2 linked regions of the Saccharomyces cerevisiae S288C genome follow. The protein of the gene in region 2 interacts with the protein of the main gene of each other region in a pairwise test. Each region holds a gene or a part of one and is shown on either strand. Other genes may lie near its edges. The genes, in order: YJL218W and MRX16.

Region 1 (16,620 bases), on a different chromosome or scaffold from region 2:
AAAGACATCTACGACGGCCCAACTTATCAACAGAATAAAGTGAAAAGAAGCAAGAAGCAAAATTCACAATACCCAAGACAATTGAAGTCTCAAAAGAGTCATTCATACCGACAGATTTGAAGATAGTAGTACCGTAGTAGAAGAAATAGTTGTCACCGGTTAGTTGCTGCAGAGAGTTAATCATGACTGTCATCGTTAAACGTTGAAAAACTTTAGTCTTTCTCGAAAATAATTCCTTCCATGAAGCAGTTCCCATTGCTTCTTCTGCCTCCACACCAGCAACAAGAAGATCAATCTCTGCAACCACAGCAGGATCGTCAACACTAAGCTTGTTCGACTTGGCAAAAGAAGCTTTAGCTTGCTCAATCTTACCGACTTGCACCAAAAACCGAGGAGATTCCGGAACAAACGTCATACCACCAATCATAATAATAGCCCATGCAAAACATAGACCAAGCGGAACACGCCACTGGACAGAATTCGAGTAAGTCTTGGTACCATAATTGGTACAATAACCCAAGAAAATTGCGAAAGTCACCATCAATTGCCAACAAGCTAGCAACGTACCTCTGATATGCTTTGGCGCAGTTTCCGAAATAAGCATCGGGGCAAGAACACTAATGGAACCAGCACCTATACCAGCGATAATTCTTCCAATAAAATACTGATACCACTTATCTATAGAGGCAATTTGAATGACAATACCAACCATATAAACGACAATAACTATAATCAAACCCATGCAGCGGCCGTAAATATCACCCAATTTAGACAAGAAAAGACAGCCAATGGCGCTTCCCACATTGAAGATGGACACAATCAACCCAGTTCTCACATTAGATAAGTAGTAAGTGTTCTTGGAATGGCTATAATTACCAAATCTTCTTAAAAAATCAGTCTGATTGACGAAACCAGAAATCGTACCTGTGTCCCAACCGGACATAAATCCACCGAAAGCCATACATAAACACATGATAGAAACAGTAGCATAGGCTGAAGCAGGCTTTTCTGGAACAACAACTTCCTCTGCCTCTTCCCCATTATACTCGGAAAAGTCCTTGTTTTCCTCCACTGTAGGTACTGACAGATGTGAAGAATTTTCTATCGAAGGGCAGCCATCATCTTCTGCCTCTTCGAAAATCGGTTCTTCTGGCAAGTTGGTTTTACGATCAGTCATGGTTTTTGCTGGCGTTCTGAGCTAACTAAAAGTGACTTATAAAAAATGCAATCTAAAATAAGAATGAAACAAAAATGGTCGTTTAAATATATCTAGTCAAGCTTCATCCCTTACAATGGTTAGCGATGATATTCCGTCGTCCAAAAGATTACGACCATGCCAGTTCATATTATTTTACTTAAGAGTTCATGTCTTTCATGCGAAGAAGCGTTCGGAAATTCCAAAACTTCTTAGAGTTCAGGAACAGGCCCGGTCGCGGAATTATTCTCGGGATAATTCCAGCCGCTTGGCAGGTAGGCTAAATTACACATTTCAAGAACTTTCTCCGGCCTTTTCTGTGAGATACGTTTATAAGTTGCTGCAGCAGGATGCTCTAGGCTGCTTTCTCTGGAATTTCTCTCCTTCTCCACATACCTCGTTGTTGAATCCCCGCGGAGGTGATATAATAAAGTTGCGTGAAAGCGTAAATGCCTAGACGGAGAAAAGAAAACGGGGAAATAAACTTTGCATTATTTTTCCTCCGTGGAGAATCCTCGGAGAAACACGGGAATATTTGAAACTATTTGCAACATTGTCCATTGAAATAGTCACAATCCTAGAAGCTAATTCACCGGAAAAAGTAATTCACACTTAAGAATTGTATCTTCCATTACCGCTACGGTAATTGATACGGTTTTGAGGAGTAAGTTCATAAACGTCTGACGAATTATAAATTAGGACACTTGTTCACATATCTTGGTGCGAAAAACTACTGTTTCTTGATGACTATATAGAAAGTGCTCAATATTGAAAAGAAAAACATGACGATCATCCATAATCCTAAATGGTGGAAAGAAGCCACCGTCTACCAAATTTATCCTGCTAGTTTCAAGGACTCCAACAATGACGGATGGGGTGATTTAGCTGGGATTACCTCCAAACTTGACTATGTCAAAGAATTAGGTGTCGATGCGATATGGGTGTGCCCATTTTATGACTCTCCTCAAGAAGATATGGGTTACGATATTGCCAACTATGAGAAGGTTTGGCCACGTTACGGTACCAATGAGGATTGTTTCCAAATGATAGAAGAAGCTCATAAGAGAGGTATCAAGGTTATTGTTGACCTGGTTATCAACCACTGTTCTGAAGAGCATGAATGGTTCAAGGAGAGTAGATCTTCTAAGGCTAATCCAAAGCGTGACTGGTTTTTCTGGAGACCTCCAAAGGGTTACGATGAGAAAGGTAATCCAATTCCTCCCAACAATTGGAGATCTTTCTTTGGTGGATCTGCTTGGAGATATGACGAAAAAACTGGTGAGTTCTTTCTGCATGTGTTTGCTCTTGGCCAACCTGATTTCAATTGGGAAAATGAAGAGTGCCGTAAAGCCATTTATGACTCCTCAGTGGGCTATTGGCTACGTCACAACGTTGATGGCTTTCGTATTGACGTAGGCAGCATGTATTCTAAGGTTGAGGGCCTACCCGATGCTCCTATCACTGATCCTACAGTTCCTTACCAAAAAGGAACTGAATTTTTCATAAATGGGCCACGTATCCATGAGTATCATAAAGAAATGCATAACTACATGCTCTCGCAAGTTCCAGAGGGTAAAGAAATCATGACTGTTGGAGAAGTTGGTATCGGGAATGAAGACGACTTCAGAGTTTATACCAGTGCCAAAGAAGGAGAACTAAATATGATGTTCAACTTCAAGCACACCTCAGTAGGTGAAAACCCAAAATGCAAGTACGAACTTATTCCCTTTACTTTAAAAGACTTTAAGCTGGCTCTTGCTGAAAGCTTTCTGTTTATCGAAAACACAGATTGCTGGTCGACCATCTATTTGGAGAATCATGATCAACCTCGTAGCGTTTCGCGTTTTGGCTCAGATTCTCCTAAATGGCGTGAGATTTCGTCCAAGATGTTGGCTACTCTCATCATTTCATTGACTGGTACTGTTTTTATCTACCAAGGACAAGAATTGGGTATGCCCAACTTCAAAAACAGAAAAATTGAGCAAATCAAATGCGTTGAAGGTACTGGTACATATGCCGCCATTAAACGTGATTATGGTGAAGATTCTGAAAAGATGAAAAAGTTTTTTGAAGCATTAGCTTTGATCTCTAGAGATCATGGGAGAACACCATTCCCATGGAGTGCTGATGAGCCTTCTGCAGGTTTCTCGAAGGATGCCAAACCATGGATTGACATGAATGAATCATTTAGAGACGGAATCAACGCAGAAGCTGAGTTAAAAGATAAAAACTCAGTCTTCTTTTTCTGGAAAAAGGCCTTACAAGTTAGAAAGGAGCACAAAGATATCCTTGTTTATGGACATAACTTTCAGTTCATTGATCTTGATAATGACAAGCTATTCATGTTTACAAAGGACACAGATAACAAAAAAATGTTTGCTGTTTTCAATTTCAGTAGCGATAATACGGACTTTTCAGTTCCTGATAATGAGGCCTCCTACACCATGTTTTTTGGCAACTATGCAAACTCAAATGGTGATTCCCGCACCTTGCAGCCATGGGAAGGAAGACTTTACTTGTTGAAGTAACGAGCACATTTAACATAAACGTACTGATCTTTCGAAACAAATAGTTATGCCGATATTTATGAATAATAAACTTGTATATTTCTTTTTACTTTTGCTTTTCATATGTGAGCATTGGATACTTAACTTACGCTGTACGCTATTTTCAATTGCAATTTATATATGTATATAGAAGACAGAAAATTCACTGAACCTTTTTCCGAAGAAATATAAAATAAAAAGCAACGTACAGCAGAAAAATAGAAAACATCATTATTACTGTTTCTATTGTCTAAATTTAGCCCTTTAAACCCCATCATCATAAGTACTAATTACCACGAATTCAATAATTAGTAAATACATTCGACTATTCTCACCCTAACTTTCGTCACTTTATCTTAAAACACTAGCTAAAAGTCGTTTATTATAACAAAACTAAAAATTTCGTAGTATGCACGCCTTATTGCCCAGTATTTTGTTAACTGTATGGATTGTACTAGTAAAAAAAATCTTGACGAAATTGAGTATAAACAAAATTTTAAAAAGCATAGTGCCAAATCAACAGATCTTAGTGAGGTGCAGGCCTTGTTCTTAACAAAAGCAAACCCCTCTTTATATATTGATATATAGGTGAACTAACTCAAATCATGTAAAGCTTTTCCTAAAGGAGCTGTGAGACTCCATTCCGAGAAAGTAACTTTCAATCCGCCACGCTCAGGTGTGCAAGCCATTGGTCCAACAAGGTAATGGTCAGAAGTTGGAAATGGAGCCAAACGTACTAACGGCCATGTTTTTTTATCAGAGGACACCTGAATCCTCAAAACGCCCTTTTCAACAGTAACACGAAGCCAGAAATCGCGAGCATTTCCGCCATAAACAGCAGTTGACCAATCTGATTTTCCATTTGTCAAAACACTGCTTAGCATTGCGTGGCCATCAGAAATTTCTATGCCAGCTTTGAGCCAATGTCCATCATCTATACGAACCATGATACCAGCCTGATCATAAAGACTCTCGTAGCTTCCCTGAACACGGACTTGTGCAGTAAAAGCACTACCTGTCTCTACTCCCAAAAAATGACCGCTATCACGGGTAAATCCGTAAAATGTTTCACGCCAAAAGTCAGTTTTTTCATCTGTTTCCAGAGTGACTTTTCCTGCCTCTTGAAAAACAGATTTTGGCTTATTGAGCCATGTTCCTTGCGATAATTCAGTATTCTTAGATTCGACCATTGTGTTTGGTAATTTATCTTGTTTGATGGAGAAGCCGTCACTTGGACTTTTGTTAATATTAGGTCAGGTTAAATACCTAGGAAATCTGTGCGTATAGGATCATCCCTTTCTAACTCCATCGAAAATGTTACTTGTTTTGTTCGAGGCTATTTGATGACCCTTTCATATGGACGCATGCAGGTGGCCATATTTTCAGTTTAAAGTTTCTCCGCATGTTAATTTGCGCTGAAAAATTAGAACGGTACTTATTTCCCCGAAAATTTCTCAAATCCGAACATAAAGCTACCAGCCACGCGTTTTCTATACGGTTGGAACTTGAGCAGTTTTACATAAGTTGTAAACTATAATTTTCTCCTCGAAGATAGATTATACCAGAAAGAAGCTACTATACACAGTCGAGTTGAGAATGAGCAACTTAAACCAGAACATATACCAATAATTAATAATCTCTCTGCGTATTTAGTCGACTAAAACTGAACTAGCTTTTTATTTATTCTTATAAGAAAATACGGTACATAATCATAGAAGACAACACTTGCTTTCGATAATTCCTCCAGAAAGTGGATCCATCATTTTCGATAGTTTGTAGTTGTACTATCTTTTTCAGTGATCTTTCTTATCACCTTACAAGGATTACCTGCTGCCACTACATTTTCTGGTATGTCACGAATCACAACACTACCGGCGGCAATCACGGAGTTTTTACCTATATTTACTCCAGGAATTATTGACACTCCACCTCCAATCCATACATTGTCTCCAATGGTCACAGGCATGGCATATTCTAATCCTTGAAGCCGTCTTTCCACGTCAATTGGATGACCTGCCGTATAAATACCAACATTAGGGGCGATAAATACGTTGTCACCGATGACTACCTTGGCCCCATCCAATATAACAAGATTGTGATTGGCGTAAAAGTTGTCTCCGATATAGATGTTACTTCCGTAATCACAGTAAAACGGCGGTTCAATTATAAAGTTATCAGTGCAACTACCAAGTAATTCTCTTATTACCTGGCTCTTTTTATTCTCATCAGCGGGGCTAAGGGTGTTGTATTCGTGCAATTTTATTTTAGTCTCTTTTCTAATTTTCAAAAGATCTGGATCATAGTTCGCATCATAAAGCTCACCAGGTACTATATTTTCTAATACGCCCATTTTTCTCTAGAAGCCTTGTTTATATGCTTATTAGAATGCTTCTCTATGTTCTTGTTGTAGTACGTGAGATCTCACTCTTTATACTTGCGTCTTTTCGAAGTAATGCTAAATAGTGCCTGGCCCAGCGTCACAGGGTGTTTAACGAGCGCGTACTATTTGTGAATTTTTTTGGGCACATTGAAAACTTTAATTTTTTAAGTTATTCAGGCACGGCACACTATGACAGGAGGTTACGTCGGAGAAATAGCGTTATGGCCGATTGTGAGAACATTTAAGAAATTTCAATCCATAACAATAAAGTGGCAGTGTCACCTAAAATATTAGTACCAACTTGCCCAATTGGCAGAAGGAAAATAAGGATATCAGGCCACCGACTTGGTACTATTTTTTTATGGTAAATGTGTACTTTTACTAAGCTTAATTTGAAACAGACGTCATATGAATGTTTCTGGGGCTACTTGTTACAATTCTCGGTCCGCAACAACTGAACTCTGTACTGTTCTGTCTCAATGCTTGGTTTCTTGAATGGAATTTCACTCCACCCTTCGGAACGTTACAAAATTTATACATTTTAAAAATTATTCATGAGAGAAAGATGCTATAGTAATCTGTTCACCCTGTCAACTCGTGTAGCTCATGTTTATCATATAATTTCTAGTTCTATAAGGCATAACAAATAGTCCGTTAAGGATTAAGGCGTAAAAAAGTAAATATTGTATATAATAAATAATTAAGTTCATGTATTTTTTTCCAGTTACTAAAAACCGGAAGATTAGCTGGAAAAGAACCTCTTGTAGATTGGTCTATCGTCATGGTCTATGGCGTCAGCATCGTAATCTGCGGTTCTTCTTTCTGGTGGCACCCATGAGGCTGATTTCCATGCTGGCACACCTTCCAGCCACATAGTATTCACCTCCTCCAGCGTCAGGCCTTTTGTTTCTGGGACAAAGAAAAAGACATAAAAGTATGCAAAAACCAGACAGCCTAAGAATACATAACCGTAGTAAAAGTTGATTGCCCCGGTAATGAATGGGGTAAAGAAACTAATCAGGAAACCCCACATCCAGTTTGCAGCTGTTGCGATTGCCATTCCTCTTGATTTGACCCTAAGAGGAAACGTCTCTGAGACAATAACGTAACAGCCGCCTGCCCAAGTGGTGGCGAACGAAAAAATGAAGAACATAGTAAACACAATCATACAGTTACCGGCGCCCTGAGAAGTAATGTCTTGGTGACTGCTTCCTTGAGGCCACAACTTTGTCACACCGACGGAGGCAAACACAGCAAAGCAGCATAGCATAGAAGCAGCACCCCACAATAGACACGTACGGCGTCCAAACCTCTCAATGGTGTATACCGCTATGAATGAAGAGAAAAAATTAACCACACCGATAATGATCGAAGTCTGAAAGGAGTCCTTTAGACCGACAGATTTGAAGATGGTGGTGCCGTAGTAAAAGAAGTAGTTATCACCGGTTAATTGCTGCAGCGATTGGATCATCACTCCCATGAGAACACGCTGAAAGACCTTTGTTTTAGTGGAGAGTAGTTCAGACCATGATGCGTTACCTGCCAGCTTTTCAAGTTCGATTCCCGCCTTTATAGTGTCATATTCTGCTAACAAGGCTGGATCGTCGACTGAGACTTTGTTGGATTTCGAAAGTGAACGTTTCGCTTCCTCATCTTTACCAACCTCAATCAGGTAACGTGGTGATTCTGGTACAAACATCATTCCACTAACCATGAATGTAGTCCAGGCAAAGCAAAGACCAAGGCCGACTCTCCATTGAGTGGCGTTGTGATAGTTCTTGGTACCGTAATTGGTACAGTATCCTAGAAAAATACCCATCGTACACATCAGCTGGTACAATTGGACCAGGGTTCCTCTGATTTGTTTGGGAGCAACTTCAGATATCAACATTGGGGAAAGGACAGCAATGCCTCCCACTCCTAGGCCAGAAATAATTCTTCCAATGAAGTATTGGTACCACTTGTTTATGGAAGTTATTTGGATTAGGATGCCTACAACGTAAATGGCAGTAACTGTAATCAATCCAATACGACGACCATATATATCACCGACTTTTGACAAGACAATTCCGCCTATGGCGCAGCCAATGTTGAATATTGAGACGATCAAACCCATTCTTACTTTCGATAAGTAGTAGGTTCCCTTGTCATTTTTTTGACCGAACCTTCTGATGAAATCAGAAAGGTTAACAAAACCAGAAATGGTACCGGTATCCCAACCAAAGATGAAGCCGCCAAATGCAATCATCAAACACAGGATTGCGACGGTGGTATATGCAGAGAGGGGTTTTTGAGGTAAGTCAATAGGTGGTTCAGTGGCATCCAGGTTGAGGGAGTTTTTAGAGTCATTATGCTCAGTTTTTACAGATGGTGCATTTGCTACTGAGTTAGAGTTAGACTCGGTAGTGGATAAATCATTTGCGGATGTATTATTAACACCGGACATGATATTGGGTAAGATACGAAAGCTTTTAGTACTCAATTGTGCAATGATTATTTTTTCCAACTCATACCAAAAAAAGAAGAAGAAAAAGATAGGAACAACAGTGTTCTTTAGTTACACAGCTGTGACATTATATACCTTTATTTAGCGAAAAAGAGGAACTGAGAAAGATGAGCCTAGACCTTAAGAGCTAAGTAGTATAGGGTGTGTCGAACTGCTACTGATACTTTGAACGAAGGTGTCCGAGTGTATGCATTGCTCGTGTGGTCAGCATTTTTATTGTGGAGGAGGCGGATTCATCTACAATTTCCGACGCCTGATTTTCCACGGATATAATTTATTTTTTGACACCTGGAGTTTACATTTCACAAAATTTCTTTCTTTTTAGTTTTGCACTGATTTCCCCTGAAATAAAGAAAAAAGAAAAAGAAGGTTTTGTGAAGTGTCAGGGAAATGCACGAGAAAAGCACTTATAACTCGCACGGAGAAATGATTATGTAATTTTCCCGGAGAAATGATTATGTAATTCCGCGGAGAAATGGTTATGTAATTGTTGCGGGGATCGAGGGTTGTTTACGCTCCGTATTTTGTCTTAGGGCTATGTATACGCAAGGCTGCGGAGGCAATGCAATAATGGGGTCTGCTTGCAGATGGTATAATCTGCTATAACGGGCCAAGTGACAGGCACGCTGTTGCAGAACATACCATCTTATATCATGTAGGTTGTGCAAACATTACCTAAAACTGAAAGCTTCGTTTACATACAGCACTCCTTCCAGATCCTAAATTTACTTTGTTCTTTTCTTATTTTCGATCATTCGTAAGACGTCCACAGACATATATAAGTAAGGAAGACTTCTTCACTCGAGGAATTAGCTGTACTAGAATATATGTTCCATTCACCAATCCAAACACACAAACAAAAGTGAAAGTTTTTTCATAGAGATAAGAAAGCAACGTACAATGACTATTTCTTCTGCACATCCAGAAACAGAACCCAAGTGGTGGAAAGAGGCCACAATTTATCAAATTTATCCCGCAAGTTTCAAAGACTCCAACAACGATGGTTGGGGTGATATGAAGGGTATTGCCTCCAAGTTGGAGTACATCAAAGAGCTTGGTACCGATGCCATTTGGATCTCGCCATTTTACGACTCGCCACAAGATGATATGGGTTACGATATTGCCAACTACGAAAAGGTCTGGCCAACCTACGGTACGAACGAGGACTGCTTTGCCTTGATCGAAAAGACACATAAGCTTGGTATGAAATTTATCACCGACTTAGTCATCAACCATTGCTCCAGCGAACATGAATGGTTCAAAGAGAGCAGATCCTCAAAAACCAATCCAAAACGTGACTGGTTCTTCTGGAGACCTCCTAAGGGTTATGACGCCGAAGGCAAGCCAATTCCTCCAAACAATTGGAGGTCTTACTTCGGTGGTTCTGCATGGACGTTCGATGAAAAGACACAAGAGTTTTACTTGCGTTTGTTTTGCTCCACCCAACCTGATCTAAACTGGGAGAACGAAGACTGCAGAAAGGCAATCTACGAAAGTGCCGTTGGATACTGGTTAGACCATGGTGTAGACGGCTTTAGAATTGATGTGGGAAGCTTGTACTCCAAGGTTGCTGGTCTACCAGACGCTCCTGTGATTGACGAAAACTCAAAGTGGCAACTCAGTGATCCTTTCACAATGAACGGACCACGTATCCATGAGTTTCATCAAGAAATGAACAAGTTCATCAGAAACAGAGTGAAGGATGGCAGAGAAATTATGACAGTTGGTGAAATGCGACATGCTACTGATGAGACCAAGAGGTTGTATACAAGTGCGTCAAGACACGAACTTAGTGAGTTATTCAACTTTTCCCACACTGATGTCGGGACTTCGCCCAAGTTCCGTCAAAATTTGATACCATATGAACTAAAGGATTGGAAGGTTGCCCTTGCTGAACTTTTCAGATACGTTAACGGAACTGATTGTTGGTCAACAATTTATCTGGAAAATCACGACCAACCTCGTTCAATTACCAGATTTGGTGACGATTCTCCCAAAAACCGTGTTATTTCTGGTAAGTTGTTGTCTGTGTTGTTGGTGTCACTGAGCGGTACTCTATATGTGTACCAAGGACAGGAACTGGGTGAAATCAATTTCAAGAACTGGCCTATCGAAAAATACGAGGATGTCGAAGTTAGAAATAACTATGATGCGATCAAGGAAGAGCATGGAGAAAACTCGAAGGAGATGAAGAGGTTTTTGGAAGCAATTGCCCTTATTTCCAGAGACCATGCTAGAACACCTATGCAATGGTCTCGTGAGGAGCCAAATGCTGGTTTTTCTGGTCCTAATGCTAAACCATGGTTTTACTTGAACGAGTCTTTCAGGGAAGGAATTAACGCTGAAGACGAATCCAAGGACCCCAACTCGGTTTTGAACTTCTGGAAGGAGGCCTTGAGATTTAGAAAGGCACACAAGGATATTACTGTGTATGGATATGATTTTGAGTTTATTGATTTGGACAATAAGAAACTGTTCAGCTTCACAAAGAAATACGACAACAAAACATTGTTTGCTGCTTTGAACTTCAGCTCTGATTCGATCGACTTCACGATTCCAAACAATAGCTCATCGTTTAAGTTGGAATTCGGAAACTACCCAAGAAGTGAAGTTGATGCGTCTTCCAGAACATTGAAGCCATGGGAGGGCAGAATTTACATATCTGAATGATTAATGATTGTGACGACAAGATTTTTATACATATACATATACTTATATTTATCTATGTTACATACCGCACTTTAAATAGTAACGACATACATGTGGTAATGCGATATTGGGTATGTGATATTCTAAAGCGTAGCGAATAACAGTTAATGTAAGTGGTAATTAATAATTGTGTACAATAGTATGATATAGTTAGCTGAAAAAAGAAACAGTAAAAAGTTTGAATTGATTGTATTATTTTATTTAACAAAGTTAATATCCAAACCTTTTTTTTCGGCAGTTCTCATACATAAAAATAAAAAAATTTGCATCAAGAACTTTTACTAGAGTGTAGACGAATAGTGACAATTAGTACCATGAATATAATTACTGCCGATTGCAAGGCTTCTTGGGGTCTTCATTATTTAGTTTGAGGTATTGTTTATTTGACCTCCATGCTCCTTACAATTGACGTTGTTCTGTCCACACCATGAAAAATATTTAAAGGGCACGAAATGTTAAACTAGCCACAGTATATTGTGTCAAGAAAGAAAAATAATTCTATAAGTACGGTGATGGAGGTAGAAAATGGGCTTCTGAGTGATTGATATGTAAGAAACCCAACATACAATGCGTGAACAATTTCGTTCGTTTAAAAAGACCTACCTACTTGTCTTCGCTGCGTGCAGCTGCTAAATCGGACTCGTGAGAAGCACTACGCGCTGGCAAAGCGTCTGGAATATTGCTAGCACCAAGTAGGTCTGTCCGCGACGTATGCTCTTGTTGAGATGTGTCAACATCTTCTTGCTCAATTTCAGAATTACTACCTTGACCTCTGAAACTGGATAAATCGTTGGAATCTTCATGGAAGCCATCTGGTTCATCTGAAAGCTGATCATGAAGCAGCGAAGAGTAAGTGGCACCTTTTTTGTTGCCAAACCTTGCCCTAAATTTTGAAGAAAGTTGCGCTGTACCTGCCTTCGCGCGTTGAAACGCAGACTTGGTGATTAAAGAAATGCATAATCCTAGTCTTACAATGATGTTGACAACTCTATCGGTCCTATTGTTTTCTATCAGCCCATCGTCTCCTAATCTGATTTCTTCAAATCTTGAAAATCCCCCATTTCTCCTGATACCTCTATCGTATACAAACCATGCGACAAAGAAAATAACGAGAAGAATTGTAACAAAAACCAGCGCATAAGCGCCGGTGTTTATAGAGTATTTTTCCCTGAATGCCTTTTCTTTTCCCGGACAAGGATGTGGTGCTAAATGTGCATCCAATTTCAGCCCACCTTTACAGGTTGATAAGGGAATTTTCCGATAGCCGGAGGAATCATAGTATTCAATTAAGTCGGGTTCCTTTTTGCAGATATCGGCACCATTCGCCGAACTTAAGCCTTTGACTAATTTACAAGTACCATCACTGGCTTTATAAAAATTATAGTCACATTCGAAATCTTGTCTTGTACATGGACAGTTTTTGACGTTCCTCGAAAATTCAGAAAGTGGAATATTCCCAATAAAACATTTTTCATCGGTTTTACGTAAAAATTCTGTTTTATGGCCAAACAAACAACCAGTTCTGGAACCCAGAGGAGAGTACTTAAAATCTGCCCTTTTTCTACCGGTAATATCAAACTCACATTGCCTCTCGAAGATGTTTCTAAAATCAATTGTATACGTTCTGAATGAACCACTACCCATGTTTTTTGCTTCTCCAAATAGCAAAAACCTCAAAGCAGAATCTCTGGGAACGGTGATTATATCCTTTACGAGGACTTTGTCGCCACAGAATTTATAATCTTTCCATGTTTTACCAAAATCGGTGGAGTAAGAAATAGAATCAGTTTCTGCGTTTTCGGGGACCAAAACCAAGACTCCACCATGATCACCGTACTCCCATTGATGGGGGCCTTTTTTAACCTCAGTCCACGTCTCTCCTCCATCAGTGGTTAGAAAAGTGGAACACTCCTCATATGGTAGAAGCCTATCGCCAACATTTCCGACACCAAACATCATTCCTAACGCGGAGCCAGAGGAATATGTATCCCTGATATCCTTACGTTCAGTGTAACCATGCAAATGTAGAGAACATTTATCTAATGACACAGAATCACAGGGAAACTTTTTCCCTTCCGAATCCTTCTTTGGAGGCTTCAAAAAGTTCCAATCTGAACCGTCATTGAAGGTGATTTTCGTCTTCAATTGTTCGTCTTCCTTGTTCTCGCCAACCTTTTCGCTATTCGAAACGATGTTGGTGATAATAATACCTTCAAGACCTTGAACTTTTTCAAAGTCCACATAACCGAATGTGTTTCTATTAACGGCATGCTCTAAGGTGACAAAAGAAGTACCATTCGAGTTGGATTTCAAAAGGTTTCCGAAATCGTGTCCTGATTCCAAGTTTGTTGCTAAATGTAAAAATATTGATCCTTCCTCAGATCCTAAAATAGTGAATGCGTCTTGCTTACCAATATCTTCATCATATGGGAATTTTGCCTCGGTAAACTCAGCACCATCATTAGTTACATACGCCCTCAATTCATTGTCTTCATGAGGTACGGCAACAATGATATAGCCACCAGTAGACAAGTAGCCGATAATGTTTTCAAAGACAGTTTTTCTATCATCTTGGAAAAAGTCAGTAGAAGAAACTAAACTTCTTGTTTGCGAAAACTTTTCCTTTACTTGGCACATAACCATATCGTCATTTGACGGATATTTGAATAGTGTTCCTGCAAACTCACAATGAATTGCATTATCAAGCATTTCTGTAAAAGTTTCACCCCCATCTTTGGTGAGGTATGCCACTGCATGACATTCTGGACTTAAAATTGATTCACAATTCTTACCACCATAGTAAATAAAAGTATCCTGTGCTTTAGCACTAAAATCTAGTGGCATGCCTAATTGCCTGGCTTCAGGTAATTTAGCTATCATGAAAGAGTATCCTCTATCGTGTGTTAAGAATATGTTACCTTTAGAGCCAAACAAATATGCTGAAGAATTGAAGTATGGGTTAAACACGATTTCGACAATTTTTTCGCCGTCAGTGTCAAACCTTTTTATCGTTTGTCCACCATCGTGGGATATATAGGCGTCTCCTATCGAATTCAGCATGACCAAAGATTCGTCGGCAACTGTATCGAAGTATTGGTAAAATTTAATTTCAAAGTCGAATTTGTTTTCAGTAGTCACTATTTCCTTGTCACTCGAACCCTCCTTTGGAATTTCGTCACACGGAATGTCTACGGATTCAATTTTCATAGGTGTTTTACATTTATCACCTTTGATTAATTGTAGTGGCTTTACTAACACAGATTTACCCTTCGATTTGTCACATATATCGGAAAGGGCAATCAGATTATAATCTGGTATACAGTCACCCTTCGCATCTCTAACGAATTCAAACGAACATTCGTAGTCGGATCCAGTACAACTGTTACAAGGCGTTTCATCTAAACTCAAATCTTTGAATGCTTTTTTTACCAAACACTGGGCGTCCTGTTTCCTCCTTCTGTACTTGTATTTGGCGCCATTAACACATTTTCCATCTGCTAGATTCCAATCTTCAAAATCACCCTCTTCACATGATTTATAATCAAATACCGCTGAAAAATCAATTGAATATGTAATGAATATTGGATCTTCTGTAATGGACGTTCCTGTTAGAATAAATTTTGAACCAGATCCATCTGATATTGTGCTGACTAATCTGTATGGATAAATAGGCATGATTAGATCATATTCACCCCATGTCTTACCTTGATCCAAGGAATAATAAAATTTAGAAGGCACATCGCCATTTTCATTCGAACGATATGGAATATACATGATAATATTTCCCAGATCACCAGTAGTATATAAACCAGTGGAATTATGGACTAACCTCCATGTTAAACCACTATCCCTGGAGATGAAAGTTTTTTCTTCTTTCCAATTGTATGCACTGCCGTCGCCAACAATACCCGATATCATCATGATTCCGGCAGAGGGATTTAAATTTCTTAGATCATAGAAATGAGTCTGAAGCGAACATCTCTCGGGTTTAGTGACATCACAACCAAATAAATCTACATTTTCCCGGTCAACAACTTTCAAGTTTGTCCATGTGAGACCGTTATCAACAGATACTTTAGTTTCCTCTCTTACTTTCTGTCGGCTGTATTTCCTTTTTCTATCAGAATATTCAATGAAGGGATGAAACGAACCAAAAAATGTTCCTTTTAAGAAACCTGGATAAGCTACATTGATATATCCAAACTGATTGTTTGGTATCCAATTTATAGGCAAAAATTTTAGTCCTTCAGAATCTGATATTAACACTTCAGCAGCTCCCGGTTGGTTGCTGTCTTCATCATCTCTTTCTCTAGATACAGGTAAAACGATTCTTCCGATGGAATCTTCATGAATTTGTCCCATATTAACGTGCCGTATCTTAGTAGGTGTACGAGCCACTTGAAAAGTGGATACATCATTGGATATCCAAATGTTTGTTGATGACATTTCATTATACATATCATCTTGTGTCAAAACGATCACATGATGCTTAAGTATCTCGTATCGACTAACAACCTTATCTTTGAACTGGACTAATTCTTTGAATGTTTCACCTCCATCGGCACTTAAAATCAATTCAGACTTGTCAATAGTTGAGCCTGTACTTTCAATGTACTCAGTGTTTCGGAAAAGACAGAGTATCGAAGCATCATTACCGCCCAGATCAGAATCCTCACTAGATTTAATAAAGTCACAGCGTGCCGTGCTAATATGACCATCAATTTTTCCAAAAGAAGGTTTAACTTGGGAAAAGGATACTCCATCATTAGTTGTGTAAATCTCTCTTCCAACATACATTAAGCCTGAGTTTTTTATTGTCAACAAATCACAACGAATAATAAGATGCTTCTTTTTTATAGGGTGAGTAGTTACGTCGCAAAAATAATTCGATGCTTTCTCAGAAATGGGTATAGTCAAAGGCCTCCACGATTTACCTTGATCATCCGTGACGTAAAATTTTGGTGCCGTTTTCACGAAAGCAAAAGCTCTATCATGCCCACGGAAGGGATCAACAACAAATGACTCGATAGGCTCTTCAATCTCATCTATTGTTTTCCAATTTTCTCCAGCATCAAAACTTATCTCGACAGAGTCTTCTTCTGCTCTGATCAAAGTGTTTGAATCATCAAAGTTTACTATATCGAATACATATCTTGACAAAGTTCTGGTAACCTTGGGGGTGAATTCTTCTGCATTGGACAGTGGAATGAGTAGGAATACCCAAATAATATACAGGGCACGAAACAATGCCATTATGGGTGTACCTCTACCTTTAATATCGCTA
Region 2 (17,341 bases):
CATTTAGAGGTATCAGACATACCAAAGTTCCAAACTTATATTTATCAATATTCAAAGTTACTTTTTAGATGGGGACTGCCTTTAGAAAGGGTCAAAATTCTAAAAGTTAGTACTGATTTCAGAAGTTCTTATAGTTCCCAAGGCATCCCCCCTAACAATAACAAGAAAAGTCCTTACAATGGTGTACTTACGCACTGGATCGAGAACAACGAGTTTGGAGAAGAAAAATTCCTAGCCCGAAATTGTAATTACTGTGATTTAAGAGTGACAAGAAGTAGCTTCATATGTGGAAATTGTCAACATGTTTTACACTCTTCGTGCGCGAGGATATGGTGGGAGATTGGTGATGAGTGCCCATCTGGATGTGGGTGCAATTGTCCGGAAATGTTCGATGCCTAAAAGCTTAACTATCACGTACATTTTCTGCATATTTCAAAGAACCTTGGATGTATATGAAAAAAAGTTCACAGGATATATGGCTTAATAAGTAGTTTATTTACGATTTTTTAATCCAGTAGAGGCATGATAGAAGACGACAACGGAATCATTGAGCGTTGGAGGCATTTTTACAATGGCTCAGTAATCACGAATAAAAGTAGGTGGAAGTTGAAATCTATTATTACATATTAAAAACTTCAGAAATACTTGAGGCTATATATTGTTGTACACTTAACCAATCGTATAACGGAGCATTGGAACAAGAAAGCTGAGTAGAAAACAGGTTACGAAAGTTGTTTGTTGGCTCATTTGTTCAAAGTCATTAACGAAGCGATAAAAGTAATAATTAATCTTGCACGAACTTCGTTGATATCTTCTGGCACCAACCAAATCAAAGCACCCAACTTTCTAGCAATAGAAATAGCCAATCTTGCGTTTGCGTACCTTTCTTCCTCGGTGTTACCAGGGGTGACTAGATCATAATCAACATAGCCCGGCGCGATACCATTCAGAACATCCAATAAGAAGTGGGCGTTTGATAAAGCTTGGTCCTTAAATGATCTAATGGTAGAGTTTTTACCACCTTTAGTTACCTGGTCTTGGGCCCACTTTAATATTTGAGAATCACTCATGTCTCTACCACTTGAGGATAATGTCTTCATGGTTATCGAAATATTTCTACGCATCAATTGCCACACTAACCCTAAGGTCAGTAATTTGTTACCATCTACAATATCAGATCCTTCGATACCAACCAAAGAAAATCCTTTGGCTCTGCCCAAGTCGACTGCATAGTTGGTGTTTTCTAAGGCTTTGAATCTGGATATCTCTGCACCCGAGGCCGGTCTTTTGTTGACATGTTTAAAATCAACAGCACCGGGCATCACCTTTTCGTAAGCTTGCAATAATATCAAACCATCCTTCAAATCATCAAACAGCGAAATGACAGGTGGATCAACGTCAAGAGAGTTCAACCATAAGGTAAAGACTCTTGCCTCTCTCTCACCTTCGGCGTCAAATTCTTCAATTTCAGGCTTTTCCTCTTCCTGAATAGGCTCTAATCCAGGATGTGTATTGAATAGATGTGCCACGAAAGCCAGGTTTAATTTAGGGTTCCCCGCAACTAATGAACTTGGGGTTAAATACTTTCTACAATCTAGCTTTTCAGCATTTTGTAAAACTTGCTCAGCTCTCTCCATTAAATCTGTGGTTTGTAATGGTGCCTTAGAACACAAGGCGGGGTCCAACTGGTTCAACAAGATAGTATAGTTTTCACCATCAGACACGTCTTTTGAAAAATTGGTAACCCTTCTGTTCCAGTTTGCTTGCTTCAAATGGTAGTTAAACCAACGTAGTAGAATTTGCTCCGGAGGCAACCTCAAAAATTGCTCCAACGTTTCATCATCCTCCAATAGACGGTATAACTCAGGATGCAGCTTAATATCAATTTTACTTAACAAACCTCTCCTAATAATTTGCCAAATCAAACCCAGGATCAAATGCTCTCTACCTTCAATAATGTCCTCGGAATGAACATTAACAACGACACAACCAATGGCTTTTGCAGAATTAATAACAATATTAGCATTTTCACTAGCCTGAAAATTATTCAATTCCTTACCCTTCTTAGGCCAATTCAAAACTCTTGTATCGATAGTATCAGGAACAGAGTCGTTGATCAACTTAGATAGCACCAACCCATCCCTACATTCATCAAATAATTGGAAAGTATCAGTAGGAAATGGAAGCAAATCACCTATATCTTGGTCTCCCGCCAAGACGCTATTGATATGTTTAGTAAATTCACGTCTTTCTTCTTCATTGATGGTATGTGTAGTACCTGTTTGGGAGCCAGCAACAATAATCTTGGCTTGAGTACCCTTACCCTTGTGCTGTAGTCCTGTGGCAGCAGTGGAAACAATAGGGGTTGAGTTAGGTGCTACGTTGAAAGTGGTCTGTGGAGCAGCTCCTGTTTTAGATTCTCTTAATTTTGCAACCAACCCGACGTAATCGTCCAGTTCAACACGGCCTGACGCATCCACACCCACATGCTTCAGGGTTTCTCTTGCTTCGTCATAAGTAGCATCACCATCTTTGGACACCGCTTCTAGAGCTTGCTGTTTTTCAACCCATCCTTTATCATCTAAGTCAATGGCTCTGAACTTTTCAATTGTGGAAAAAAGATCCTCTTGAGTCAAAATTGGAAATTTTCTCTAATCGCAGAAGAGTTTGTTAGTATATGAAACGTTTATTACAACCTAAAAGGTAGAAAAAACTTTTTCACTGTGCTCAGCAGTGTGGGAATTCGAGAAAGGCATACATACTTGTAATTTGACAATATTCATTGTGTTTTGGTGTACTCCTTAGGGCTAATATATCAGCTTCTTCTCTGATAATTTTAGTGTAAAGAGCTTTCTTGTTCTCCTGAAATAACCAAAATTTATATCGATAAATCTTCATTATAAACTTCGCCCCGTACTTTTGATATTTTTCCGCCTCCCGAGGAGTGCTTTTTCACATGAAGGCCATCGGGAACAAGAAGAAAAGCCGTTCACGTAAGAAAATAGGACCCTATATCCGGTCAGGATCACTCAAGCTGTATGTAAATGTAATATAGACAAAGCACCTTTAACTGCTAAGAATTAATTATAGTGTCGGAAATATAACATAACTTGCTTACTTCCTGTGTAAAAAATGTGAGAAGGGATATGATTACTTATGTTTCGGTATTTCCGTGAGTTGAAGTTCGATATTGGATAATCTTGATTCAATCTCTCGCTGTCTTCTCAACATTTGTAGTAGCAAGTCCTTTATTTCTTTAAGTTCCACGGTTTCTTCAGTCACTATATTATCAGGTAGTTTAAATTTTACACTTTTCTGGAAACTAGCTTTGTGTATCTTACCTTCGTTCGCCAGCATGGAATTCAGTTTAGTGTTCGATTTAGTAAGGGATTCTATGCCATTTCCCACGTCTTCCTCTTCTTTCTTGAGTTCAACTAATAAATTCTTCCCTTTCAATTTAGCTCGAGGAAGGTCATTCTCAAATGGGGCGTCCTTGAGCTCAGTATTAGAACAGAGGTCAGTGTTGCTTTTGGCATCCGATGGGAGAATATGTTGCTGCTGTTGCTGCTGTATCCTTTCAGGTGACATGAGTCCATTCTTAAACCGGGCCCGTATTCTCGTTAACGAACCATCACCCCCGATTTTATTTTCATTACTGAATGTCAGTTTGGTTGGTGATGTAGGGAATATTATATTAGTTATATGATCTGAGTTTTGGATCTTCACATTTTTATTCGAATTTTTGAACTGAGGCCTATCCAGGCTTTGAGTTTCCTTAGAGACATAGCCCTTCAGACATTCCGGCGACATAATCCTTCTTGGTGTTACTTGTATACTATGCTTCATTCCATCTGTCTTGTTAGGTGATATCCTCATAGGTGGTTTCAAAAACTCTTTTTGGCTTGTCGTCCTCAAAGGGGACATACTCAATCTCACAAAGACATTGTCCTTGTCACTTGGTATATTATTTCGACCAATCGTATTCCCTATGTCACGTAAACTCCTGCGGTTGCTTTTATTGCTCATAATTTGTTTTATTGAACTATGTCACATCACTGCAATCCAGTGAGAACACTGAGAAAGCTCTAACTAGACTATACAATCCATTTGTTTTGATTTCCTCTTGTTGACAATTTGCAGTATTTAGAGTATATATCATTATGTACGTGTTATAACCGCCATGTCTCACAGTATCAACTAAATAGAGCTTCTGCGTCCACCAATTCATAAACAGAGTTGCTTTTATAGCCATTATTATAGAAGAGGGGAACCGCGCATCGTTGTAACTCGTCCACTTGTATTATTTTTGTAGGTATACCGTTGATGGTTAGATATTCTAAGTTCGGCAAACTTTGCTCAAAAACTTTAAATACGTCTTTTAGATAATGAAGGTATAAGTGGTACAAACTAATGGCATCTTCTCTAGTAATTTTATTCACTGTAATATTCTCAGTATTTTCTATGGTGCTTTGCAGATTTTCATTGAACTTTCGTACAAACGTTTCAATAGGTACAGAATCCCATCCCATCGCAGGTGATTCGTTGTCAATAATGTTTGTATAGGGCATGATCTTGTTCTCGAAAAACATTTGGTAAAAGAAATTATGGGCTTGGAACTTATTTGGGTTCTTTAAAAGTTTTGACCGGGTTTCAGGAAAGATTTTTTTTAGAATGACCTCGTGAATTGTATTTTTGCAAGTTGAACAAGGGCAGAAACCATCGAAATTCAAGCGAGTTAGTGGGTTATCTGTCATGGGAAAAAAAAGCCTGTGATTTAGTTGGCAGTGTATGTCAAAACGCTGTAATTTTTTGCCACACACTTGTTTAGATAAGAAGTTAATCAACGACACATCGAAGTCAAATTTACCCATGTAATCAAGTTTCAGTATCTTTAAATTGTGAAACACAGCCAAACAATTCATTAGAAAAAATTCGCTGTAAACCAATGACGCTAATGATAGTTTCTCAATGTTCGGAAATTTCCAAAATCCTTCTAGCCCCCATTTGACATATAACCTGTCAAAACCACCTTCTTCGCCAGAGGGAAAATCGTCGCGACTGTACCAAGACAAAATCTCTAGCTGCCTTAAGGTGGAAGCATCAAATATGTCGATGTATTCTAGCTCTTTTAAGAAGTCATCGGAAGCGTCGTACTCCGCAAGGTTAAGTGTGTCGGGTCGCAAATTTAATACCAATGCTTTGATCTTCATAGGAGACCCGGTATTTTTGAAGTACTTCAATGCGTTTATATGAATGGAAAGTTTTTCTAATCGAGATAGATCGCACTTCAAGAGCAACCGATCAATTTTATTCAAATAAGAACCGCTTACACTGTTATGGGTGGGCATTAACGTTGGTGGCGTTAATGTTAGAGTTTTTAATTGCTTTGATAAAGGTTCTAGCCCCTTGTTAACTGATGAGCGAACAAATTGATCGACAAATTTCAAATTGGATCCATACTCGGATAGCAATTTAAGTACATTTGTCATCACATCTTCATTTAAATGCCATGTACAACGTATTCGATTAATTAAGGGACATAATCTTTTCGGTGACTCTGCTAATGTTCTTTCGAAATAACTAAATTTCACTTTAGCTAGTCTTCTATTCGACATGTCGTTTTTAGTATTGGAATCATCTTCATCTATGTAGTGAAAGTTTAGGACAGACCAATAACAGGTTCCAAATGAGTTATCATAGTCACCATTGATGTGATAGGTTTCATTAAGAAATAAATTCTGGTAGATGAAAGGTATAATTGATTCATAGGATCTTTTGCATACATATGTTAACGAAATTTTATCTTCCTGCGGAATTCTCCAGGCAATTTGTTTAAAAATCTCATAAGGTAACTTATCAAACATTTTTCGGGCCCTTTCAAATTGGCAGTAGGGTTATTTTTATCTATTTTAAGACACCAAAGTTTCTTCTTTTTGCACACATTATCCTACTATTTTCTCTACGTTACTTTATCTCTGGTTTTAAGAGGTGTCTGTATCCTAATTCCCGAAGTCGATTTTTTTCTTACATATTAACTGATAAATAACAAGAGAAAAGAGACAAGAGCCTACAAAAAGTAAGAAAAGAAGCTACTACAGGAATGTGAGTTACAATGGGTTTCCGTTATACTTCAAGTACTATAATGGCATATAAAAAATACAACGGAGAGCATACATATACTTAAAAGCTTGGCAGAAGAGTAATTTTATCAAGCTAATCCTACAGATATTCATATCCCTTGTAGTATTCCTTAGTTCCGTTAAATGCTATAGCTTTAATAGCTATCAGCATAATATTGCCATCTTTCACGGCCAGTTTCCAGAGAGACTTTCTTAAGTAAAGCTTTAAACCAGAACAAAATCTAAGGTCAAGTGGATCAGACACGTCAATGACCCTGTCATTGAATTTATTTTTATCAGTTAGCAAAGTTTGAACTTGAGAAATCTTAATGCCGTTTATGTCCAAATCACAGAGATATATGCATGCTGGAAGTAAATAATGAGTTTCAATTTTCGTCTGCGTACTATCGGATGGGAACCGATACTGGTAATTTTTCAACTTAGGCGCACCAGAGGGTGTATTTGGCAAATGACTTCCAAATAAGGCCTCAAACTTATAGGCGGATTCTCCAGTTATGTCTACATGGATACTTTGGCTTTCCTTATTGAGGATTATCGTACAATCAGTCGAATTTATTTGAAATATCAACTCTCTCGGATGCTTATCTAAAAAAGGTCTCTTATAACAAAGCATATTCCAGGAATCGTTATATTTTTCAGTCATGTCAAGTTTAATCTTTTTATTTGCTGGCTGTTCACGGGTTTTTGATAGCGAGTCGCATTCATTTATGCTACAGAAATCGTCTTCAAAGTAGGGCGAGGTTGAAAATGCAGAAGAAGCTGGAAAAGTGATGCCTTTTTTTGACAAATCCTTCAATAGGAGGCAAATCTCTTCTTTCCTTGTTATTGGGTTATAGCTAATATGAGATTTGATTAGCCGCTGTTCGAGATTTAAAAGCCTGTAATAACGGCACTCTTTTATCAAGGCATTTCTTTTATTATCATCTAGATCGATGGATGCTCCTCCCAGTAACGTCAGCAAATCTTTGAAGTACTCAGAAGATCTTGGAATGTAAGGAGCAGAATGAGATGGAGGCCTTAATAGTTTTTTAGATATTATCAGCTCTTCCACATCGATATAAACTGTAGCCGCATATATTTCGAAATAATTTGGGGAATCTCCTTCTCTTCTAAATAAATTTTTCGCTATCTTGAATGATTGTCCACCAATGTTGGTAAAATAATAGTCCGTTTCTTTCAGTAAAGATCGCAATCGCGGTAAATTGTAGTACATCGCATCTGCGAAAAGCATGGTATATTGTACTTCATCCTTAATCTCAATTATATATCCTTGCAAATGTTGATAGATCCATTCAAAAACTTCGGCTGATCTGTCTATGAATAGAACCTCATTTTTATTAGATTCCATGGTATCGTTATTACTGTCATCGTTATTGGAAGGAGAGCGCTTCTTAGAAAAATATTCGGTGAAGAAACTAGGACCATCCGAGCTTAAAGAAGCACCGCTGATTTTGAATAATGATTTCCCCACCTGAATCTTATACATTTTCTCGTGTGGGAGTATTTGAGGAATATTCGGATCGAAATATTCTTGTGACAAAGTTGCTACTGTTGGAGAATTTGACATTTTCTATATGATTATATTGGGAACTTTCTTTGTTGGTAATATTTACGAGTGCCACAGACCGGTCTTTAATTCGCTATCTTTCGTTAGATTATGGTATATAACATTCACACATAAGATATACATTTTTTTCACTGCTCAGACTATTCAATTTTATTCGAGAGGAGAATCCATTAGAATTTTGACTTAGTAAGCAATTGCGGCTTACATGATTTTCCAAGAAGTTCAGTCGCCCGTGCAACAAAGACAAAAGCAAGCTAAGAAAAATGCCAGCTCAGTGGTCCGGATAAAATCTTAAAAGGATACGTTTGTAAAAGAAGCAATGATAAGCCGGCCAGATCGTAATAATGAATCACTAATATAAAACTATTATATTTCAGAAAAGAGGAAACCGAGATAGACTCATCGTCCGCTTATTATGTAAGATATTGAATCCATGTTCTTGATTAGCGTAAACCGACTGGGCAAACAAAAAAACATTATTTTTGAATTAACGAACCTTAAACAACCTATATTAAGATATATGATAAAAATACAATGCAACCAGTATATATAAAAAAAGTTTAGTTGCGTGTAACCTAAGAGATATTAACTTTATATTAATATTATTATAATAAACATTTAGTTATGGAGTGTTGCCTCCTAGAATTAGAATAAGAAATTACCAGAATATCTTATTAATTGAAATAAAACGATTTTGTGGAAGCTGTATTGACGGAAAAGTACTTAACCATTTTTCTAAAAATATATTAAAGAAAAGGTTGAGTAAATTACAACAATAAAGCGGCAGCACCAGCCAACAAAGCACCGGCAGCTGGCAAAGCCTTAACAGCGGCACCAGTGTAGGAGGTAACAGTTTGAGTGCTAGAACCTTGTTGGGTTGGCTTTTCAGTTGGCTTTTCGGTTGGCTTTTCAGTTGGAGCTGGAGAAGTGGTATTCTTTGGTGCTTCAGTGGTTGGCAATGGACACCAGGTGGTGTATTAAGTGATAACGTCATTTACGGTGACGGTAGCAGTGGAAACCAAAGCTGGGGAAACTGTTTCAGAACAAACGTGGTCCTCACAAGAAGTGATAGTGACCAAAGTGGTAGATTCTTCTGTGACAGTAGCAGTGGTAATGTTAGAAGCGGCGGAGGCAACAGCGGCAATAGCAGCGATAGAAGCGACGGTAGAGAATTGCATTTTTAATTTGTAGTTATTTTGAAGCGAACGAAAGAAGATGTTTGTTATCCTTGGTTTTTTATTCTATGAAAAAATTTTAAAAAAGAGAGTCTAGCAGAGAGAAGTCGATGAAGAACAACCACGATCCAGCAACGGTTTATATACTTCGAGAGATGACTAAACCATCCTATATGTTGTGGAAAGTGTACACAAAAAAATTGCAAAAAAAATAGTTAGAAAAAGAAAAGTGAGATAAGTACAAGGAAAAAAAAATAACAAACACCAGAAAAATTCCTGCGCGGTTTCTGTGAAGGGGCCGTTGATTCACCCTCTGCACTGGTCCCTGAAAGGGACTACCGACCATACGCGTAGCCCCTTTTCTCACTGGAAACCATCCGAACGCCGATGGAACACGCGTCTAAAAGTGAGCACGGACCGGACTCGCGGATTTAAAAGGGCTTCCCCACTGCAGCGTGTCCTGCAGCTCAAACCCAGCCATCAATTCGAAATAGGAAAACTCCTTCCTTTTTGAGCGATCGTGTTGTAGCAGCACTTCAAAACGGATGACTTTCTCCGCACTGAAACGCATGGGCAGTCCGGCAAGAGAAAACACCGCGTCGAAGCACGGTTATTCATGTTGGAGCAGTTCGCACCATGCTATTGTTTTGAAATGGCTGCCAAAAATATTCATGTTGCACGTTTCAATGCTTGACAGAAAGGCAATATGGCGGAGAACCAGTGTGAGTTGACCCCAACAAATGAAAAAAAAAAATATAATAAAAATAAAAATAAAAAAACAAACAAAAAGTAAGTCTCCTTCAAGGACAACTGAATAGGAAGTTTGAGCCGGTTTCCTATGCCTATAGCCTTGGATGAGTGAGGAGAAAACGTGCAGTTAATAAAATTAGCATACTTTAGGTTTTAGGATGAAACTTTTTCTCCCACAATCCTTATTTGTTATGACACCAGAGTGCCTAATTCAATCGAAAAACAGATAAGGGGAATTTCTGGAATTAGGGTGACAGAATGAGCTACGTAAAATTAACGGCAATGCGAAGGGCATCTTCATATTATTTTTCTCACCTTGCTGCTATTCTAATTGCATTTCCGTTATTAAGGTTTGCCCCTTCTCCGAAGGTAAGCTGCGGAATTTCCTGATAAGTGCATTACCCCGCATAAGGTTCCCCTTACGATACCAGAAAAGGAATCAGTGTCGATCGTATTTTCGGCATGTGGATTATCCTTGCACCTGTTCTCCGGAGAAATGTTGGTTTTTTTCTGTAAGGGGTATGTGGTGAGGAGGTAAGCCATTATCATCGTTGCCTTCATTATATCTTTTTATTGCTGGCCGATCTCTGATATTATGATGAATATTATGAAAAGTGTTCCTTTTTTCTTGCCTAAGTGACGTGACGTCTCCTTTCTAGGCAAGCTATGCAGCCAGTATCTCGTTGAAAATTAAAGTACTTTTCTTATTTACTTATTTATTTTATCCATCCTACGTACCAGATTGTGCGGGACAGGTTTTTATTAGTTTCACAGTTTAATTTTCATTGACCAAACCAGCCTCCATGCACAGTGAATAGAACAATGATTTGTTATCACTTAATAACTGGCCCGGAGAGTCAAACTCGGCTACTTTACCATTGTCCAACACTATGATTCTATCACTGTCCATTATCGTGTTCAGTCTATGCGCGATGGTCAAGATAGTTCTGTCCTTGAAAGCAGTACGAATCGTCTCTTGGACGACTTTATCTGTCTCCACGTCGACTGCGGCCGTGGCTTCATCAAGCACCAAAATCTTTGATGGAACCAACATTGCTCTTGCAAGACATAATAATTGTCTTTGTCCAACACTTAAGTTGCCACCACCTTCGGTTAGTTGGGCATCTAATCCGTCATTGCTCATTGATAGCACGTGTTCTTTCAAATGAGAAAGTTCCAATGCCCTCCAAATAGCTTCATCAGTGTATTGGTTAATGGGATCAATGTTCTCACGAACAGTGCCCTCAAAAACTTGAGAATCCTGAGGTATGATTGACAATTTATGTCTCAAATCATATAACCCAATCTCGTTGATGGCAATGTTGTCGATTACGATGTTTCCCTCGCTAGCCTCAATCATCCTGAATAATGCTAGCGTTAATGAGGATTTTCCCGCACCCGTTCTACCCACGATACCAACTTTTTCATTTGGTTTAATGTGTATATTAATGTGCTTCAGAACAAGATCAAGCTCCGGCCTATAACGAGTGGAATAATTATTAAACTTTATATCACCCTGGCTCGGCCATTCTTTGGGTGGTCTGTGGCCTTCAACTATTAAAGGTGCCTCGCTCTTCAAATCAGCATATTCCTTTATTCTTTCCACTGAAACAATATTCGTTTCAACTTCCACAGTCATTCTAACAATCCAATTTAACGTTTGAGTGATTTGTAAAGCATAGCTTAATGATAAACCCACCATACCTGCCGTTAATGTGCCTTGTTTTAGTCTAAAAACGGATAAAGTTGCAGCACCTAGAATGATAATTGAACCAATAAGTTCCAACCTATATGCTAGCCAACGGTTAGCATTGATAGAGGGATAGAACGCACTCATGTTATTATCAATGCGGCATTGATTAATGTGGGAAAACCTTTTCTGTTGAGAATAACCTCTAACCGTTGCAAGGCCACCCAAAGTCTCTTGGAAATGAGAGTAGATTGGAGACCTAGTAATAGAGTCTAAACGACGCAACTCCCTTGATGTTCTCAGGTAATACTGCTGGTAGTAGATGTAAAACACACTTAGTGGAATGATAATGAAGATAAATTGCCATGTCGTCGCACAGATAACCGTAATAGTGAATGTGACTTTCACTGCATTGACGAAAAACTGAGAAAATGTTCTTCCTAATAAAGCATCCACTTTGTATATGTCATTTGAGAATCTGTTTAGAATTCTACCGATTGGTGTTGTTTCAAAAAACGTCATTGGGGCTCTCAACACAGAGTTTGTCATCAAGTTGTGTAAATATTTGGAGGCATGAATGGTACAAAAAACCCAGAGAACGATTGTCTGGATTAATGTTGCCAGTGCTGAACCAATACCAAGTGCAAAATAAATGGCCAAGTAACGCGCGGCATTTGGATTAGATCCATAGCGGCTATTAACTTCAGACCAATGTTTCAACCAAACGTTACCCATAACAGAGAGGAACATCGATATAACAATAAACAATATGAATACACAAACGCTTTTCGGGTTGCAAGCTTTAGCGTACTCTAGGTAAATGTTCCACTTTACTTTTCCCTGTTCACGATGCTCTCTTTTAGCAATATTTTCATCGTCACCAAAATCGATGCTTCCCAAAGTTGCATCACTGGCCCTCCTTAAACTTATGGCGTCAGAGTTGCCAAAATCCAAATCATTTAATTTCTGCAGTTGTTCCAGCTCTCCTTCTACAGGTATACTACTTTCTCGAACTGAGCTTTCAGAGGAGTCACCGAATTCATTCGACTTACCGTTATTTTTTTTACCATAGTTGTTGAGCAATTTCCATAATGGCGAATCAGCGTCCTTCGTAATCTCATCATATGTACCCTGCTGTGTGATTTCTCCATTATCTAATAATGCAATAGAATCTGCGATGGATAACGCGCTCACCTTATTAGTGGCTAATACCTTCGTTTTTGTATGTAATAAACCATTTGGACCCAACACATGTTCGATCAAGTGCCTGGCAACGTGTTCATCAACAGCTGCCAAAGGATCATCAAGTAAATAAGTGTCAGCTCTCGCATAAACTGCTCTTGCTAAAGACAAACGAGCTTTTTGTCCTCCAGATAAGGAGATCCCTTTCTCGCCAACTAATGTCTTATCTCCATCCATCAAAATTGCAAGATCAATAGTTAACGCACAGGCCTTGATCGTTTTTTCGTAAAATTCCGCGTCGTATCTATGCCCAAATAAAATGTTTTCCTTTACAGTACCATTCATTATCCATGGAACTTGTGAAACATAAGCAACAGAACCATGAACGGTGGCGAAACCTTTAACCCTGAATAGATCACCTAACATGCATGACAATAGAGCTGTTTTACCACTGCCAACTTTACCAACAATACAGGTCAAATTTCCTTTTTTAGCTTGGAAATTAATATTCTTTAAGGCTACTTTGTATTCCGGTTTCCGTTGCCATAAAAAGGTAGCATCATCTCCAATGTTAATGGCTACATCGCCAATATTTTTTACTTTTGGTAAACGCTGAACCGAATCTGGTTGTAGCTCTTCATTGGTAAAGAATGTAAATAATCTACCAATAGAAACAGAAGCTTCGATAAAAGAATTTAAAACCATAGGAATAATCATTAGTGGGAATGAGAGCAGGTTGAACAGAGTCAAAGCAGGGAAAACTAAGTCAGTAGTCAATGCTCTATCCTCAGTATAAACAAATACAGCAAAGGTACAACATGAAACAAGGAATGGTACTATATTGAACTGAAAACTTGTCACAGCCATATAACATCCTAGTTTTGTAAGATTTTTTAACTCTTTGTTATTTCTTACTTCTTCTAGCTTTTCCCTATAAGGCTTCTCCCATGCATATAACTTCAAAGATTTAATATTGTTTAGTATTTCACTTATAACACGGGTCCTTTCATCTTTGTACTTCATCTGGGATTTTTGCAACTTCTTTTGTATCCTCATCAAAAATGAGTTCAATGGCATCATAATAACTAGTATAATCACGCCAACCCACATGGAATTTCCCAACAACTTATACAGAGAATATAAGCAAATAATGATTTGAAAAGGCCCTGACCATATTAAATTTAGCCATTGTGTTAAATCTTGTAATTTTTGAACATCCACACTCATGAGATTGACAATGTCACCGGTAGAGGAAAGTCCAGAAGCCTCATTAGATAGCACTAAGGATTTTTGATATATTAAAGCCGTTAGGGCGCTCTTAATATACATGCCTGTGTTGAAGACATTCAGGAAATATTGATGCAGGACAGATGTCTGAGTAAAGCCCACCAGAAACATAGCAAACGCAATCAAAAACCCTCTTACAATGGGTAATTTTTGTGGGTGGTTATTTTCAAACCCTTGAAGAGAAGAATGGTCATCCTGTCTCTCACTGTTATAGTCTGTGACGAACTTGATTAAAATCCTTAGTAGTTGTGGTTGAGTAAATGCTAGAACATCATGAATTGCTTTAAAGAATGCGGCTAAAAGCATTTTAGATCCAAAAGTTCTGCATATAGCCCATGATAATGAAGGATTTGATTTTTGCTTCAACTCATTTTCCCAGTTTTTCTCCAATTTTTGAGAGAGTTCTTCACTACTAAAGTTCCTCGGTAATTTATATAAATCTGCTTCCACTAAGTATTTTTCATAGCCAGTTTTCATCAAACCTGACATCCAAGAGAAGGTAATCCTGGAAAATATGTTTGCGCTATCGTATGGATTTGGTTTTCTTCTTGTTAAAGTTTGATGTATGTGTTGATGTGGCATTAGCGGCTTCTTTGGAAGAGCTTCAAGTAACAGGATACTGGCACATGTTATTACTTGGAATAACGTTAGTATGAAACCCGTTTGTCCGGAATACCAAATGCCTTCGTAGGTGTGTCTAATTAGAATATTTATTAGTTTAGCAAAATTACCGAATGTTTCAAAAAGCCAATAGAATAAAAGTACCGTATTGGCTACAACTGATCTATCGTATTCTATCCAGTGTAAGGCTAAAGCAACAAATAAAGATAACATTGTAGAAGCATATTGACTTACAATGGTAAAGTTTTCCGCTTCTTCTTTAGAAATATTTAAAGACGCAAGTGAAACAAACGCTATCTCCAACAGAACTAGTGCCATCCTAGAGACAATAATCCAATTCCGCCTATATTTGATGCCAGAGTGTTTTTTCTTGCAAAGGTTAACTAAATCTCTGATACCGAAGGTTATCATGAAAATTGCTGATAGATTTAGGATCACACCGTCGATGAAGCATTGAGTAAAGTCACCGTAAAAGGATATAGGTCCAAACCCTTCAGGAGATCTACAGAGCTTGCAGGCCCATGAAACAAGATTACCAGCCATTTTCTTGTTCTTTACGGTAGTACGATACCCCTAATTTATTCTCAAACTGTTAATTGAAAAATTGTAGGTTGTAAACCAGCTTCCACATAGCAGATGATCACAAGAGGTTATCGCACCTTTTATAGCAGCTGCTAACTTTTTTCATCAATTTCGTAATTACTAAGCCGTAACCTTCCACCGCCCAAGCATCACACCAGGAGTTACATATTTTTGTATTATCATAAAGAAACACACGCCAAGATATCTACAGAAACCAGATGTTAGCATTAGATATATATATTCGTATTGATGCAGCATAACAAGCGTACTATGGATTGCAAAGTAATGTAGATTCCTGACCAGTAGATCTGCTCGCGCAAGAGAAACATTCATGAACTCTAACGACAATAACAGTAAATCCACCTCACGGAGAACGATAAAAGTCTTCATTTCTCCATGAGGTGGAAACGTTGTTTGAATATTAAACATAATACTTGAACTTCTTGTGTAATTTTTATTTTTTAATCGAAGTCTACTCCGAAGTCTCCTATAAAGCGTAAGGCGCGTCTCCAAAGTGCTATTTTTCAAGATCAATTCAGCTTCAAAGAAGCTTTGATACCTACGGGGCAATGCAAAGGCTGCCAGTCGAAACAAACAGCGAAAGCTAGCCCATAATTTCTTGAGCTGTTGATTTTGATTGTGATATTTTTCATACTTTAGAAGAAGATATGCGTGCGCACAGAATCGATACATTTCTCATAAGAGAAAACATCAAACTGGAGATCATACATGAATCGAATTCCTATTTTGGTGGAGAACATATATCAATTGCTTTCCGATTTAAGCACCTAGGCTCACAGCATGAATTGTTCAACTATAAAGAAAAGCTTCTCACTGTCGATAAAGCTGTTGAAGAGAAGTTGGAACAACAAGCGAAAGTGCAAGATGATGGTGAAGGCACGATGGAAAATCAAACCTGGTCCCTAAAATCATTACTAGGTGCCTTCAAAAGAACAGGCGAACCTGAAGAGAGTGTGGATGTGGATAACATGAAAATGCTAAATGAGAGTAAGATGTTAAGAGAAAAAATACAGAAGCAAATGTATTTTCATCAACCTGTAACGTTAATATCCGGTTATGTTCAAATATCGGGGGTCTTTCAATACGATTCAGAGGTAATTTCAGAGTCAAAATTTAAACAAGATGAAGTAAAAATGGTAGGACTAGATATTGTACCTGGACATACGACAAATTCTGTTCTTGCATTGGAAGATGGAGAACATTTCAAAGGTAAAAGAAATTTAACCAACTACCTCAACTCAGATTATACAAATGTGACCAATGGTCTTCTTTTCTCAGAAAGCGGTTCTAGGGGAAGAACAGGTACCTATAACGAACGGACCTTAATGATATCAAACGATACCAGTATAAAAACATTACCTCTTCTTTTAATACCACAGACGCTTTTATTTTCTGAAATTTCTTTAGAACCAGGTGAAGTAAGAACATTCTATTTTAAATCCACAAAGCTGCCAAAAGATATATGCCCAAGTTATTCATCGTCAAAAGTGGCATCAATAAATTACACGCTGGAGGTTGGTGCGGATGTACTTTCTGATGATAATATCGAGAAATTTTCAAATAGAGTCCCAATAACAATAGCACCATATATTAGTTCGAATGCCGAACAGTACACATCACGTCTGGATAAGCCTGCTATCATATTAAAGACAGGTAACATAAAGGAACTAAAGCCACGTTTGTTTACTCGAAAAGTTTCTACGGCTTCTGCTGTATCATTTGGTAGGAGAAAATCTTCTATAATTGACATTGATTCTCCATTAGAAGATAATGAATTTGTCAAGCGTGTCAAAAAAAACTTCATTGAACTGGTGGAATCTAACCAAAATGTGTCAAGAGATATAGACGAACTTATTGACTTGCAAATGGGGGTACAGTTCGGAAAGGATGAGGATTCTTCGGATCCTGAACCCAACGACTCACACTTTTCGAACGAAATGGTGACGTCTGCAGAGTCTAGCCTGAGAAGCGATGCTGTAACTAAGAGGAGAAAAAGTTATTCGGTACGCGATAACATTTCTAACCTCGAGCAAAAGATGTGGAACGATTGTTCTCTCGTTAAGTCAGATGAGAATTCTAATCTTCTACCTCAGCTAATTAATTTACAGAACGCATATCAAATTAACAGAAATAATGAGACTATGGCAAAAGTATCCTTATCAGCACCTTTTTATAAGACAACTGATGATATAAATTTAGTCATTGAATTAGATCCGATAACGACGCCTTTACTTAAAGTGACTTCGTTGACTGTATCCTTAGAATCGTTTGAAATTATAAATCCAAAATATAAGACTGAAGGAAAAGGAATAGGGAGCAAACCAAA

Evidence for each region.
Region 1: the proteins of MRX16 (region 2) and YJL218W interact in a two-hybrid assay, tested with the Saccharomyces cerevisiae proteins (2 studies listed by BioGRID).

The regions. Positions count from the first base shown.
Region 1 is NC_001142.9:11,444-28,063, reverse strand, and holds YJL218W (acetyltransferase), read right to left. Parts: upstream 6,092-16,620; coding exon 5,501-6,091; downstream 1-5,500. Other genes in the region: hexose transporter HXT8, read right to left, coding at 1-1,177; oligo-1,6-glucosidase IMA5, read left to right, coding at 1,978-3,723; REE1 (Ree1p), read right to left, coding at 4,335-4,931; hexose transporter HXT9, read right to left, coding at 6,864-8,567; oligo-1,6-glucosidase IMA4, read left to right, coding at 9,528-11,297; VTH2 (signal sequence-binding protein), read right to left, coding at 11,940-16,589.
Region 2 is NC_001136.10:712,597-729,937, forward strand, and holds MRX16 (Mrx16p), read right to left. Parts: upstream 7,708-17,341; coding exon 6,220-7,707; downstream 1-6,219. Other genes in the region: MTC5 (Mtc5p), read left to right, coding at 1-399; SAC6 (fimbrin), read right to left, coding at 744-2,651, 2,763-2,783; FIN1 (Fin1p), read right to left, coding at 3,151-4,026; YDR131C (uncharacterized protein), read right to left, coding at 4,194-5,864; ATP-binding cassette glutathione S-conjugate transporter YCF1, read right to left, coding at 10,408-14,955; RGP1 (Rgp1p), read left to right, coding at 15,663-17,341.